Saccharomyces cerevisiae S288C: one gene and its partner. The protein of the gene in region 1 interacts with the protein of each later gene in a biochemical or structural test. Each region holds a gene or a part of one and is shown on either strand. Other genes may lie near its edges.

Region 1 (8,401 bases):
CATCACTACTGTGAGTTAGACCGCCACTCATTGAACCCTTCGTCACGCCATGTACGCCTTGCCTATATGTTTCTTCCCTCAATGGATTAACTACTTCCTCCTCACCAAGGTTTGAAGAAATACCAGAATCCAGTTTTTTCCGCACGCAACTGTTGGTCCACATTCGCCTTCTATATGAGCCCCTTTGTCCATCAAGATTGAGGTCATAGACCCATTTTGTTTCTGAATCTATCTCGACATACTGAATAAATTCGTCCTCTACCCATTCTTTTGGATCCAAATCAAGCACCCAATGAGAATTGGCTTCCCATTCCCAATCCTTAGGTGGCTCAATTTCTTCTAATGACTTCACTGAATTTTCCTCAATACGCCTCTGGTATATTCTCAAACTAGAGAAAAGAGAATAATCGTCATCAGAGAATCCAACTGGGCGCCATTCTTTGTATTCAGGAAGATACTTTTGGATCTCAAAGATCATAACAAGTCGGTGCTCCCTAGCCTCAATGAGTTTCAAATGCTGCAAAATCTTAGATTCCAGATTAGTACTTATAGTCAAAGTTTTTAATCTTGTCTCCTCCGAATTCAATTTAGTCAACAAATATTCACGATTGGACGGATGCGAGGCAATAAAAAAACCCCAACCTAGCAGTATCAGTACGGGTCTCATTGGAATGAGCTTGATAAATTTATCCATGTACAGAAAATTTAATGTTGCTATTATTAACAATACAATAAAATAAAACGACGAAATAGCCTCGTTGGTGAAGAATGCAAACTTTTGTAATATGAGTAAAGTAAAATCGTAGAATTTAACATATAGCAGCATATGGTTTTGTAAATCCGTGAGGTTTAAGACAAATTCTTGGCTCAGTTCAGGGACTGGTTTAGGAACCTCAGGTCTTCGCAAAGGTGGGCCTTGTGCTGGTGTTTGATTATTATCTAGATAGCTTGTAGGGTTTGGCTTATGAATGTAAAGGTATTGCGGGACCATTACGCAGAATAACAAATAGAATATAGGGAGCGAAGAAAGCATTTGAAAAGGTTTCAATATAATGAGCGTGTATAAGAACATGATAGATACTGTATACGCTGGGTTAGTCCAGTTTAATATCTTTATTAATTCATCCATAATCATGAATGGTACCCCTAGTCTCGAGTTCATCTGTATAAAATTCCTACTCGTGATCTGCACAGACAGCTTAGGCCTTTCTTTACCAGCAACCATACGATGGTGAATTGTATCAACAGCCGTTTTGGAAGATGGTGGTAATGCCATTTTGATTATCTTCTCTACCAGGGTATCTGCCATCATCTTTTGGATGTTTGATGTCGAGGGAAAACCGCCACCACTAGTTGGCTGTCCACTGGAAGATGGCAGACTACCACGTGTAGGATCACTAGTTCTAGAACCACTAGATATGCTCTCTTTCTTTGCCTGACTTTTTCCATCTATGCCATTTTGCACTTTCTTCCCCTTGAGAGTTGATCTAGTTGGAGTACCAGCATTATAGGTGTCATTCCAGAAAAAATTTGTCACCGAGTCCATCTAGACGTATATACAGTAGGAGACTGAAATTTTGCTACGTATACAGGTGAGTATATTCATGCGGCCTGATCAGTAATTAAAAATACACACTATTCCTCGTTGTTATTTCTTAAAATTAGTTCAAGAAGAAGGGGTAACCCCTAAGCTTCTTAAGTTCACCACAAAAGTATTACTGGATAGTGAAACAACAACCACCCATAACATTAGTTTCCTAAACACTACGGCGGTATTCACCTAGACGCCATCCTAGAAGGCTACAAAGTGATGCACGTATGATGATATCGGACATTAGAGCGTATACATACAACAGGTACACATAAAATTGTGATATGTCACAGCTTCATCACCCGGCGGACACGTCTATTAAATTATCAATAATTACATAATGTGCAGATCAAATAAACAATAAACATACAGCCATTTAAATTTTGGTTATTAATGTTATTTTTCATTTCTATTGCTTGCAGTGGTATTTATGTGGTATAGTTAAGCCTGCAGGAATATTTAAGCAAAGAGGGAAAATTATGAATAAAGAAGAGCAAGAAGACCCACAGCAAGAGCAAATATCAACTGTTCAGGAAAATGATCCCAGGAATTTGCAGCAACTGGGAATGCTGTTAGTATCTCCAGGGCTTGATGAAGACAGATTGAGTGAGAAAATGATTTCGAAGATCAAAAAATCCAGGGATATCGAAAAAAATCAAAAATTGCTCATATCTAGGCTGTCGCAAAAAGAGGAAGATCATAGTGGTAAGCCTCCTACCATTACGACTTCTCCAGCAGAGAAAACCGTACCCTTTAAGTCGCTGAATCATTCTTTAAAGAGGAAAAGGGTACCTCCAGCGCTAAATTTTTCCGATATACAAGCATCTTCTCATTTGCATGGATCTAAAAGTGCTCCACCAAACATAACAAGATTTCCGCAGCACAAAAATAGCCTTAGGGTCAGATATATGGGTAGGATGGCTCCTACGAATCAAGATTATCATCCTTCAGTGGCCAATTCATATATGACAGCAACCTACCCTTATCCATATACTGGACTGCCACCAGTACCATGCTACCCATATTCTTCAACTCCAACACAAACGCACGCATACGAAGGCTATTATTCCCCGATGTATCCCGGCCCCTTGTATAATAATGGTATAATACCAGCCGACTACCATGCAAAGAGGAAGAAGTTGGCTGGTAGATCACCACACTTGGAAGATTTGACATCGAGAAAAAGAACCTTTGTCTCCAAACACCACAACGGAGACCCAATCATAAGTAAGACTGATGAAGACATTGAATGCTCTGTCACGAAAAATTCATTAAGTGAGGGCGCTTCACTTAACGACGATGCCGATGATGACAACGACAAAGAAAGGATCATTATTGGAGAAATCTCTCTGTATGATGATGTTTTCAAATTTGAAGTTCGCGACGACAAAAATGACTATATGAAAGCATGTGAAACAATCTGGACTGAATGGCATAACTTGAAGAAATGACGAGATTTCACTTCTTCACGCTATAGAATGCACCTAAAACTCGCCTGCACTCCGAAACGAAATGCGATACAGTACGTGTCATGCGGTTAGTATATATACATATATATATATATATATATATTCAAATAAATTATAACGTATTAAATAATATGTGAAAAAAGAGGGAGAGTTAGATAGGATCAGTTGGTCAACTCATGGTAGTATTCGTCATAATGTTGTACTTCACTAGCTATTTCTGTAGCATCAAAATCTGATGTGTGTTTGGTGTCCCTAATCAAATCAGTGACTTCGTTCAGGTTCAATTCTAAAAAGTTTTCTAAGAACTGGCCAACTTCCGTATTTTCGTGATTGCCTTGTAAATTGTTCAAGACATATGACCATGTAGCTTTCTTATTGGCGTATGCATATATGTTGACGTCGACTGCGCTGTGACCATGCGTGGTCCAGCCAATTTGGGCCCTAAATGATACCATGTCATTCAGTTTGTCTTGGATAGCATTTGCGTTGTCATCCAAATGAATTAATGTTTCTAAATCGCTATCCGTGTAATCGTAAATACCCAAATCTTTTTCCAGGATCTCATGTTTGATGAAATTTTCTATTTTGCTGCTTGCGCCCTTATGCTCATGAACAAAATCTACTAGTTTTCTTTTCAAAAACTCACCTGAATGGGTGGCGTTGGCGAGCACCTGTGGATACCAGACATACTGAGGATAGCTAGCAGTGACTTGTCTTGAAGTGACTAAACCACCCGTTTCATGATCCGACGTAGAGACCAAAACAGTCTCCGTATCGGAATTTTCAGCAAACTCCAAAACGTATTGGAATGCTTCATCGAAAGCCAACACCTCCCTTACCTGCGAAGCTGGATCGTTTTGGTGACCAGCATGATCAATTCTGGAGCCTTCCACCATTAAGAAAAACCCATTAGAATCTTTGTCCTCATTGGAAGCTTTTTCCAAGGCACCCAAAGCCACCTTGACTTGTTCCTTAAGGGAAGGATACTCCTTTTCATCTCTGTCAATTTCAAAAGGAATGTCGTTATCTGCAAAGAGACCCAAGAAAGGTAAAGTAACGTTTTCACCGTGGCTTTTCAACAAAGAATCAAAATTTTTACGGTCACCCACGTACTGCCAGCCATTAGATTGAGCCTCATCGATTAAATCTCTTCCATCTTTTCTAGCACCGTGGTGACCATATGGAGAAGCCTTTTCGCCTTGAGGGTAGAAATGGCTCCTGCCGCCACCCATGAGTAAGTCTACTACTCTCCCCAGAGGATATTCGCCTAACTGGTGCGTAGCGATAAGATCTTCCTGCCATCTGTAATCAACATGTGAACTGAATGAAGCCGGAGTGGCATCTGTGATTCTTGTCGTAACAACAAGCCCAGTGAGATAACCTGCTAACTTAGCCGCCTCGAGCACTGTACCACAAGGTCTGTGATGCGGATCAACACCGATGGCCCCATTATAGCTCTTTAATGCACATGCAAATGCGGTGGCGCCCGCAGCTGAGTCAGTGACTAGTGAGTCCGAGGACCTTGTTCTCGAAGACCCGATAAAATGCTCGTCAAGTGTCAGGATGTCGTCTATAGGTAAATCATTAACATGCTGGTTGAATGATCTTGCCATGGACAAAGACGCAGGTCCCATCCCATCCGTCACGAAGAATATGACATTCTTCTTCTTGTGTGATGCAGAACGTAATGCAAAACTGCTTGGAAATGCCAGTTGCACTAAAACCAGCAACAAACCAATACAGACCACAGTGGATACTATTATCTTTGATCTCTTCGAGATCCGTCTCTTTTTAGGACGAGAGCTCGAGTCAGATCCAGGAACAAGACGTGTCTGTTCGCTTGGTAATGTGTGAGTCATCATGCTGCTAATGCGCGTTCAAATAATGTCCCGTATGCTGATATGTAAATGTTTATGTAGCCACTTGCTGGCAAAATGTGGAGCACGAAAAAATATAAACGTTTAGATACACTTCTTTCTTTATATACTAAAATCCCTTTACTTTTCCTCTACGCGCGAAGCTTATCGCTATCGTCAATGCTGCTATTCATGTCGATGCTGCTCTTCCGTTAGACGCGCCTTACGAGGGGTGTACAAAGAGGACATCCGCTGCTGTTCTTGCCACTCGTTCGTCAGTTTTGCCCTCAACGCTTCACATTTCTTGTCAATCTGCTCTTCCGAGAGCGTTTCTTCCTCCTCCAGTCGGTCCCGTAGCTCGCTAACTTGTACTTCAATCTCACGTTTCTCCATATGAGTCTCTATCTGTTTCTGCACAGCAAGAGGCCTGCTTGCCTTGTCATGGCTGGCCTTTTTGATCGCATTTTGTCGTTGTTGCCGCTGCTGTTGACTACCCTGTGGTCTGCGCCTATTGTTGCTAGCAAGTGATCGCTGCACGTGGCCCGACGTAGATGACCCTTTTGCCGACTTGAGCCCTATTCCGTTGTACGACATGACTGGACGGTGATGCAGTAGCTGTTAACCGTCGAATGGTATTGTGTAGAGCTCAAATTAGGATTACACAGATTATAATACCACACTTATAGTGCCATTCTTGAGGTCTTACTTGATTCTTCCTTGCCTTTACCCGCACGCTTAATATAATTTTTCCTTCTTATCTGCTACGCCTTCTTCTAGTAGGAAAAAAAAAAGAAATTTGGTGAAGAAACAGTCTGAAAAGGAGATAATTTGCGATTTAATTCGTTTATACATTTTATGAATCTATAATACTGGAAGTGATATCCATATTCGCAAGCAGTTCCACTCGAAAGCATGGCCCTCTTTCTCAGTAAGAGACTGTTGAGATTTACCGTCATTGCAGGTGCGGTTATTGTTCTCCTCCTAACATTGAATTCCAACAGTAGAACTCAGCAATATATTCCGAGTTCCATCTCCGCTGCATTTGATTTTACCTCAGGATCTATATCCCCTGAACAACAAGTCATCTCTGAGGAAAATGATGCTAAAAAATTAGAGCAAAGTGCTCTGAATTCAGAGGCAAGCGAAGACTCCGAAGCCATGGATGAAGAATCCAAGGCTCTGAAAGCTGCCGCTGAAAAGGCAGATGCCCCGATCGACACTAAAACAACCATGGATTATATCACTCCATCTTTTGCTAACAAAGCTGGTAAGCCAAAAGCTTGTTACGTCACTTTGGTGAGAAACAAGGAGTTGAAAGGTTTGCTAAGCTCCATTAAATATGTGGAAAACAAAATTAACAAGAAATTCCCATATCCTTGGGTTTTCCTAAACGATGAACCTTTTACTGAAGAATTCAAGGAAGCAGTCACCAAAGCTGTTTCTTCCGAAGTTAAGTTTGGTATTTTGCCCAAGGAACATTGGTCATATCCTGAATGGATTAATCAAACCAAGGCTGCTGAAATTCGTGCAGATGCTGCCACCAAATACATATACGGTGGCTCCGAATCTTATAGACACATGTGTCGTTACCAATCTGGGTTTTTCTGGAGACATGAATTATTAGAAGAGTACGATTGGTACTGGCGTGTGGAACCAGACATCAAGTTATACTGTGATATTAATTACGACGTTTTTAAGTGGATGCAAGAAAACGAAAAAGTTTACGGCTTTACCGTTTCTATTCATGAATATGAAGTGACGATCCCAACACTATGGCAAACGTCCATGGATTTCATCAAAAAGAACCCCGAATACTTAGATGAAAACAACCTGATGAGTTTTCTTTCGAACGATAATGGTAAAACATACAATCTGTGCCATTTCTGGTCAAACTTTGAAATTGCAAACTTGAATTTGTGGAGGTCACCAGCCTACAGAGAGTATTTTGACACTTTGGATCATCAAGGTGGATTTTTCTACGAAAGATGGGGCGATGCTCCCGTTCATTCTATTGCTGCTGCTTTGTTTTTGCCAAAGGATAAAATCCATTATTTTTCAGACATTGGTTACCATCATCCACCTTATGATAACTGCCCATTGGACAAGGAGGTCTATAACAGTAACAACTGTGAATGTGACCAAGGTAATGATTTCACTTTCCAAGGTTACTCTTGTGGTAAGGAATATTATGATGCTCAAGGGTTGGTAAAGCCAAAAAACTGGAAAAAATTCCGTGAGTAGAAATCTTGGAACATACTGTTTCTTTGTTTTGACTTTATACTTTCTATTTATATTTTATTTTTATAACTGGTTAAGTACACATAGGACTGCGTATCAAACATATAAGTGAGGCAATCCACATTTTTTTTAAAGATTCGAATATTTTTATTCTCATTAGCGTATTCCGAGAATAGTTCGAAAAAATATAAGGTATATCAAGAGTTTTTACAAGTGAGAGGAAAGAGGAATAAGCTATAAGCAACAAAAGCGTAAAAAAATTAGCTGAAGACATAGAACTATGGATGTTCTCAAAGAGGTGTTGTCACTAGACCAAGATAAATTTGACCAGCTGAAGGAAACGAGCCGAGATAAAACAAATGAAACGGATGATCCTTTTGAAAACTATTTGAAGGATTGTAAATTTAAAGCGCCTTCAAACAAAGATCAGTCACCATTTGCTAAACTTAAATCATTACAGGAAACTCATTCTAACAATGAAGCGGCTATTAATATAATTATTCCTCAATTGATTGATTACTTAACCGAATTCACTAATAGGTTATCAAATTACACACAAGATTTAGACTTCATTAAAAAAAAGTCCAATGAATTACAGTCATTGCTCGAATACAACTCCACTAAACTGGCACATATCTCTCCTATGGTTAATGATTTGATGATTCCTCCTGAACTCATTGATGACATCATTAAAGGGAAGATCAATGAAAGCTGGCAGGATAATATAACATTCATAGCAGATAAAGAAGAAATTTATAACAAGTATAGGTCCAATAATCTCGATCAAGACAACAAGGACGCAGAAAATTCAGCAATGCTAGCACCAAAGGATTTTGATAAGTTATGTCAACTCCTGGACATCCTAAAAAATGTTATTCTAGAAAGGTCGAAAAGACTTATTATTTCCAAAATCAAAACTTTGAGGAGTCATAACCCAGTACCATCGCAAAGGATACAAAACAAATTATTAAAAGTTCAAAAAATTTTCCCCTTCATAAGAGATAATAATCTCTCCTTAGCCCTTGAGTTAAGACAGGCATATTGTTACACAATGAAATGGTATTATAGAGAATACTTTTCTAGATATATCAGGTCATTGACTATTTTGCAATTTCAACAAATCGACTCGCAATTTGCATTGGGTAATGGCCTTTCTACAACTTCAGTGAGTGGGTTTAACAATTCACCATCATTGTTTTTCTCAAATTATCTAACTACATCCGCTTCAAATGCTTTCTATAATAAAC
Region 2 (5,583 bases), on another chromosome or scaffold:
TACGCATGTTCTTCATAAGTCATTTGTCTTTTGATTTCACCCTGGTCATTTGGAATGATGTCACCGAGATTAGAGTTCTTCAAAAATCTGATGTAAAATTTAACCCATGTAGAAAAGTTTTCTTCTGATGTTAAAGTGTGTGGTGGTAAGACGTTATTTCCCACCTTTGTCTTAGCTTGAGGTATTTCAGAGTGTTGATTTTTTAAATCGATTGGATCAGGTGAGGAAGTACTCAGTGGTGGGATATACTGTGGCAACGGATAGTGTGGGTCCGGTTGATAATACGCAGGTGACGTTTGATAATGTGAACACGTCATCATAGATGGTTGTTGGTAATGTGCCCAGTTAGAGGCCATAGCTTTGTTTGGGGTCATCATGCCGTGCTGTTGGTACTGTCCATTCTGTGGAGGTGGTACTGAAGCAGGTTGAGGAGAGACATGATGATGGTTCTCTGGAACAGCTGATGTCCCAGGTGTTGTCTCTTGTTGAGAATTAACCTTAGTGGAATCTCTATCAAATTCCGGTAAATTGGAAGCTGAAACGGCTAACGGATCTTGATTTTATGGGACTTCCTTAGAAGTAACCGAAGCATAGGCGCTACCATGAAGAGAATGTGGATTTTGATGTAATTGTTGGGATTCCATTTTTTATAAGGCGATAATATTAGGTATGTAGATATACTAGAAGTTCTCCTCGAGGATTTAGGAATCCATAAAAGGGAATCTGCAATTCTACACAATTCTATAAATATTATTATCATCATTTTATATGTTAATATTCATTGATCCTATTACATTATCAATCCTTGCGTTTCAGCTTCCACTAATTTAGATGACTATTTTTCATCATTTGCGTCATCTTCTAACACCGTATATGATAATATACTAGTAACGTAAATACTAGTTAGTAGATGATAGTTGATTTTTATTCCAACAGTATTTATGTTTTGTCATTCTTTTCTACATAATCTTGAAACTAGGTAGATCTACAATTGAAAAGTAAATACTAACATTATTTACTAAATTTAAGTTAGAAATCGGCACGAAAAAAATTTGACAGATTACGAGAGTCCAGCCAAAATATGAGTATATTACTATTTCCCCTTGGTGAAAGAAATGAAAGATGTTATTTTTTACCGGCTTAGTAATACTGAGCTACTTACTTGGGGGAAAGAAAGATTGGCTACTTATTATGTATGAAGCCTCAGATTACCTTGAATTCCTCAACCGTTTGAGCAGTATGCTCTTCAAATTCGAACTTTTTGAACATCTTTCCTCCACATTCCTGATTTTTTCACATTCAAAACGCGCTGTGAAGCTGTTAGAAATTTACAGATCGAGGCATATTTCTATATATAATGTATTTTTATTAAGACACCCAAAGTACTTCCAATCTGTAGATATTGCACTTTATCTGACCAGAAGCCAGACTTGAACAGTTACATATTGTGCTTTGCAGTCGTTAAATTTCCCGAACTGTTTTCGTATTTTTTTTTCTTTTCCTCTTTTCCACTGGATCAGATCAAAAGCCGACTAAAAATTTGGCAATTTAAAGAAAGCATCTTTTAAAGATAGAAAAGGTTATTTCAACAAAAAAGTATCTTTTCTTCACTTTTCTTTCAACAATTCAAAGATGGCTAGAACCATAACTTTTGATATCCCTTCCCAATATAAACTCGTAGATTTAATAGGTGAGGGAGCGTACGGAACAGTATGTTCAGCAATTCATAAGCCTTCCGGCATAAAGGTAGCTATCAAGAAAATACAACCGTTTAGCAAAAAATTGTTTGTTACAAGAACTATACGTGAGATCAAGCTTTTACGGTATTTCCATGAACACGAAAACATAATAAGTATATTGGATAAAGTAAGGCCAGTATCCATAGACAAACTAAACGCTGTTTATTTAGTCGAAGAGTTGATGGAAACCGATTTACAAAAAGTAATTAATAATCAGAATAGCGGGTTTTCCACTTTAAGTGATGACCATGTTCAATACTTTACATACCAAATCCTCAGAGCCTTAAAGTCTATTCACAGTGCACAAGTTATCCATAGAGACATAAAGCCATCAAACCTGTTACTAAATTCCAATTGTGATCTCAAAGTCTGCGATTTTGGACTAGCGAGGTGTTTAGCTAGCAGTAGCGATTCAAGAGAAACATTGGTAGGATTCATGACGGAGTACGTCGCAACGCGATGGTACAGGGCACCCGAGATAATGCTAACTTTTCAAGAGTACACAACTGCGATGGATATATGGTCATGCGGATGCATTTTGGCTGAAATGGTCTCCGGGAAGCCTTTGTTCCCAGGCAGAGACTATCATCATCAATTATGGCTAATTCTAGAAGTCTTGGGAACTCCATCTTTCGAAGACTTTAATCAGATCAAATCCAAGAGGGCTAAAGAGTATATAGCAAACTTACCTATGAGGCCACCCTTGCCATGGGAGACCGTCTGGTCAAAGACCGATCTGAATCCAGATATGATAGATTTACTAGACAAAATGCTTCAATTCAATCCTGACAAAAGAATAAGCGCAGCAGAAGCTTTAAGACACCCTTACCTGGCAATGTACCATGACCCAAGTGATGAGCCGGAATATCCTCCACTTAATTTGGATGATGAATTTTGGAAACTGGATAACAAGATAATGCGTCCGGAAGAGGAGGAAGAAGTGCCCATAGAAATGCTCAAAGACATGCTTTACGATGAACTAATGAAGACCATGGAATAGTATTCACAAGAACATTTCTGCCATACTTCTAAAATTTCCCTATATTCAGCTTAGCAGTGACACGTTGTGGTCTGTAGGTCAATATGTAAGTAAGAAACTTCAACTCACATATGCACGATGCATGCCAATGGAAAAATGCAAGGAACGAAATGGCGCCACGGCAACAAGTTTTTTTTTTTCGCCAGCAGAAGTACACGAAATGCGGCTTCATGAGCCTCTTCACTGCTTTGCCTAAACGGGAAATGCAGAGAAAAACCAGCCATCGCGTGTGCTTGGAGAGCTGACGCGACTGTAATCAAAGAGGCGATATCAACACCTTTTATCCAGCACTATTCAACAGTGAATGGGCTCCCAAGTAAGTCTTGGCATTGTGCTTTCTATTCTTAAGTATTAAGTAGAAGTTTTGTTTACTGGGTTTGTTTATTCCTGGCTAGATGTTCGCATTCGTTTTCTAGTTGACCATATTTACCAAATATTCACAACTAATACCCAGCCAAGGTAGTCTAAAAGCTAATTTCTCTAAAAGGGAGAAAGTTGGTGATTTTTTATCTCGCATTATTATATATGCAAGAATAGTTAAGGTATAGTTATAAAGTTTTATCTTAATTGCCACATACGTACATTGACACGTAGAAGGACTCCATTATTTTTTTCATTCTAGCATACTATTATTCCTTGTAACGTCCCAGAGTATTCCATTTAATTGTCCTCCATTTCTTAACGGTGACGAAGGATCACCATACAACAACTACTAAAGATTATAGTACACTCTCACCTTGCAACTATTTATCTGACATTTGCCTTACTTTTATCTCCAGCTTCCCCTCGATTTTATTTTTCAATTTGATTTCTAAAGCTTTTTGCTTAGGCATACCAAACCATCCACTCATTTAACACCTTATTTTTTTTTTCGAAGACAGCATCCAACTTTATACGTTCACTACCTTTTTTTTTACAACAATTTCATTCTTCATCCTATGAAATGACGAAAATAACCAGAGATGTTTCGATAACGACAGAAAATTCAAAATCCACATCTGGATCGGCAACGGCTTCATCCGCATCTTTACCTGAGAACGACCACCCAATATTCCATCAACCGCGAGCAAGAATAAGATCTGGTTCGCTGTTCATCGAAGGATCTGATTCATTTCCATCATCAGAAGTGAAGTCATACAATGTTTATATTGATGATAGCAAGTATAGTGAAATCCTCAAAGGAGATACAAATTCAAGTAGTACTGATGGTAAACAAGTCTTTGAAGATGCTAGAGATGACAATTTCCATCAGGAATCACATAGAGATCTAGAGGATTCAATTTTAGATTTAGTACGACGAGATCCAGAAGTAGCAGCATTCCCTTTACCTCCGCCAAATTCAAATGAGAGGAACAGAAATTCCTCAAACGGGTCTTCCGCTGAAACTAACCTAAATGGACACAGCAGCAGCGGTACCATCTCTACTTCGGTGCTGTTGAATATGGGTTCGGCAGAAAAGCACGCTGGGACGACCAGAGGAGATCATATGGAATCATCTTCAATGAAATCCTTCGAGAAACTGGGAACCAGACCTTCTTCTTTATTCTATCCACCACCCGAAGGAACTGCGCCGTACCAGGGACCAAGGGCTACCGTCTCCGGAAATAAGTCTACAAGGCAAACACAAGGTACATACTCATTTCCTTCTATGCGGTATGGTGTAGATCTTGTTTCTCCTGTGGAAGGGGCTGTTGATGTAGCAAAAAGCAGAGTTCCTAACAGCACGCTAAATGGTACTTTTCCCGATAAAGCGTTTATCCCACATGAATTTCAAATTCCTAAAAAGGCCTGGAACAGAATACCAGCGAATAAGTCCACTAGCCTCAAAACCCCAAGAAACCATTCCCTATTAATTGACATATTAAAGCCTTTTGAAGCAGCTGACCTTGCTAATGACCAGCGAAGTTCTTCCGCTGTTTTAAAAAATACAGTGCATTCTAATGGGCAGTATAATCCAACTAATGAAACCTCTGGAACTCGAATGCAAGATCAAAGGCAGAAGAATACCAACGAAATTGATTTAGAGAAAATTCCTAATCCTCAAGTCCCTCTTGGTATCGCAATGGACACCATGCGTAGTCCAAACCAACTACACGAAAAGGAATACGAAAGTAATATAGAAGCTGGTTTAGCTTCTGGGGTCGGAAAAGGTGACAATAGTATTAAGCAACATCAATATAAAAAAATTCCTCAAGAAATTGATCGAGATCAGCAATTAAGTTTTCAAATGGAAACAATGCCCATTCAAAGAATAGATTCCTCCTCCATACGTTCATTTGATTCCCGAATATATGGCTTCTCCGAGATTTATAGTATTCCAAGGGTTATAACTACACTGTGCATCTGCCTTTTTGTTCCGCCCTTATTCTTTTTCTTTTCAATCAATGGAAATAATGGCGTTTCAAATTATAGATTAATGAGAATGATAATGAATTATGAACATAGAATCGGCCTCCTCAAAGGGTTTGAATGGGACATTGACGTACAATGGTTCAGGACATTGTGCTTTGTATTAGGATGTATAGAGATGTTAGCTATCTTTGCTAGCATAGGAATAGGATTTGGTGTGGGAATAATAAGAGAGTAACTCCATGCTGGACTTACTCGTCGAAGATTTCCTGCTACTCTCTATATAATTAGACACCCATGTTATAGATTTCAGAAAACAATGTAATAATATATGGTAGCCTCCTGAAACTACCAAGGGAAAAATCTCAACACCAAGAGCTCATATTCGTTGGAATAGCGATAATATCTCTTTACCTCAATCTTATATGCATGTTATTTGCTCTTATAATTGGTCTC

Evidence for each region.
Region 2: the proteins of DIG2 (region 1) and KSS1 form a complex in vitro, tested with the Saccharomyces cerevisiae proteins (2 studies listed by BioGRID, with this or other methods).

Annotation. Positions count from the first base shown.
Region 1 is NC_001136.10:1,415,329-1,423,729, forward strand, and holds DIG2 (Dig2p), read left to right. Parts: upstream 1-2,070; coding exon 2,071-3,042; downstream 3,043-8,401. Other genes in the region: PEX29 (Pex29p), read right to left, coding at 1-1,546; alkaline phosphatase PHO8, read right to left, coding at 3,222-4,922; U2-type spliceosomal complex subunit CWC21, read right to left, coding at 5,103-5,510; alpha-1,2-mannosyltransferase KRE2, read left to right, coding at 5,829-7,157; VPS52 (Vps52p), read left to right, coding at 7,435-8,401. UniProt on the Saccharomyces cerevisiae protein: DIG2 and DIG1 are negative regulators of the filamentation and pheromone induced mating program. DIG1 and DIG2 inhibit the transcriptional activity of STE12 by direct protein-protein interaction.
Region 2 is NC_001139.9:573,766-579,348, forward strand, and holds KSS1 (mitogen-activated serine/threonine-protein kinase KSS1), read left to right. Parts: upstream 1-1,632; coding exon 1,633-2,739; downstream 2,740-5,583. Other genes in the region: YGR039W (uncharacterized protein), read left to right, coding at 1,123-1,434; BUD9 (Bud9p), read left to right, coding at 3,722-5,365. UniProt on the Saccharomyces cerevisiae protein: Together with closely related FUS3, KSS1 is the final kinase in the signal transduction cascade regulating activation/repression of the mating and filamentation pathways, induced by pheromone and nitrogen/carbon limitation, respectively.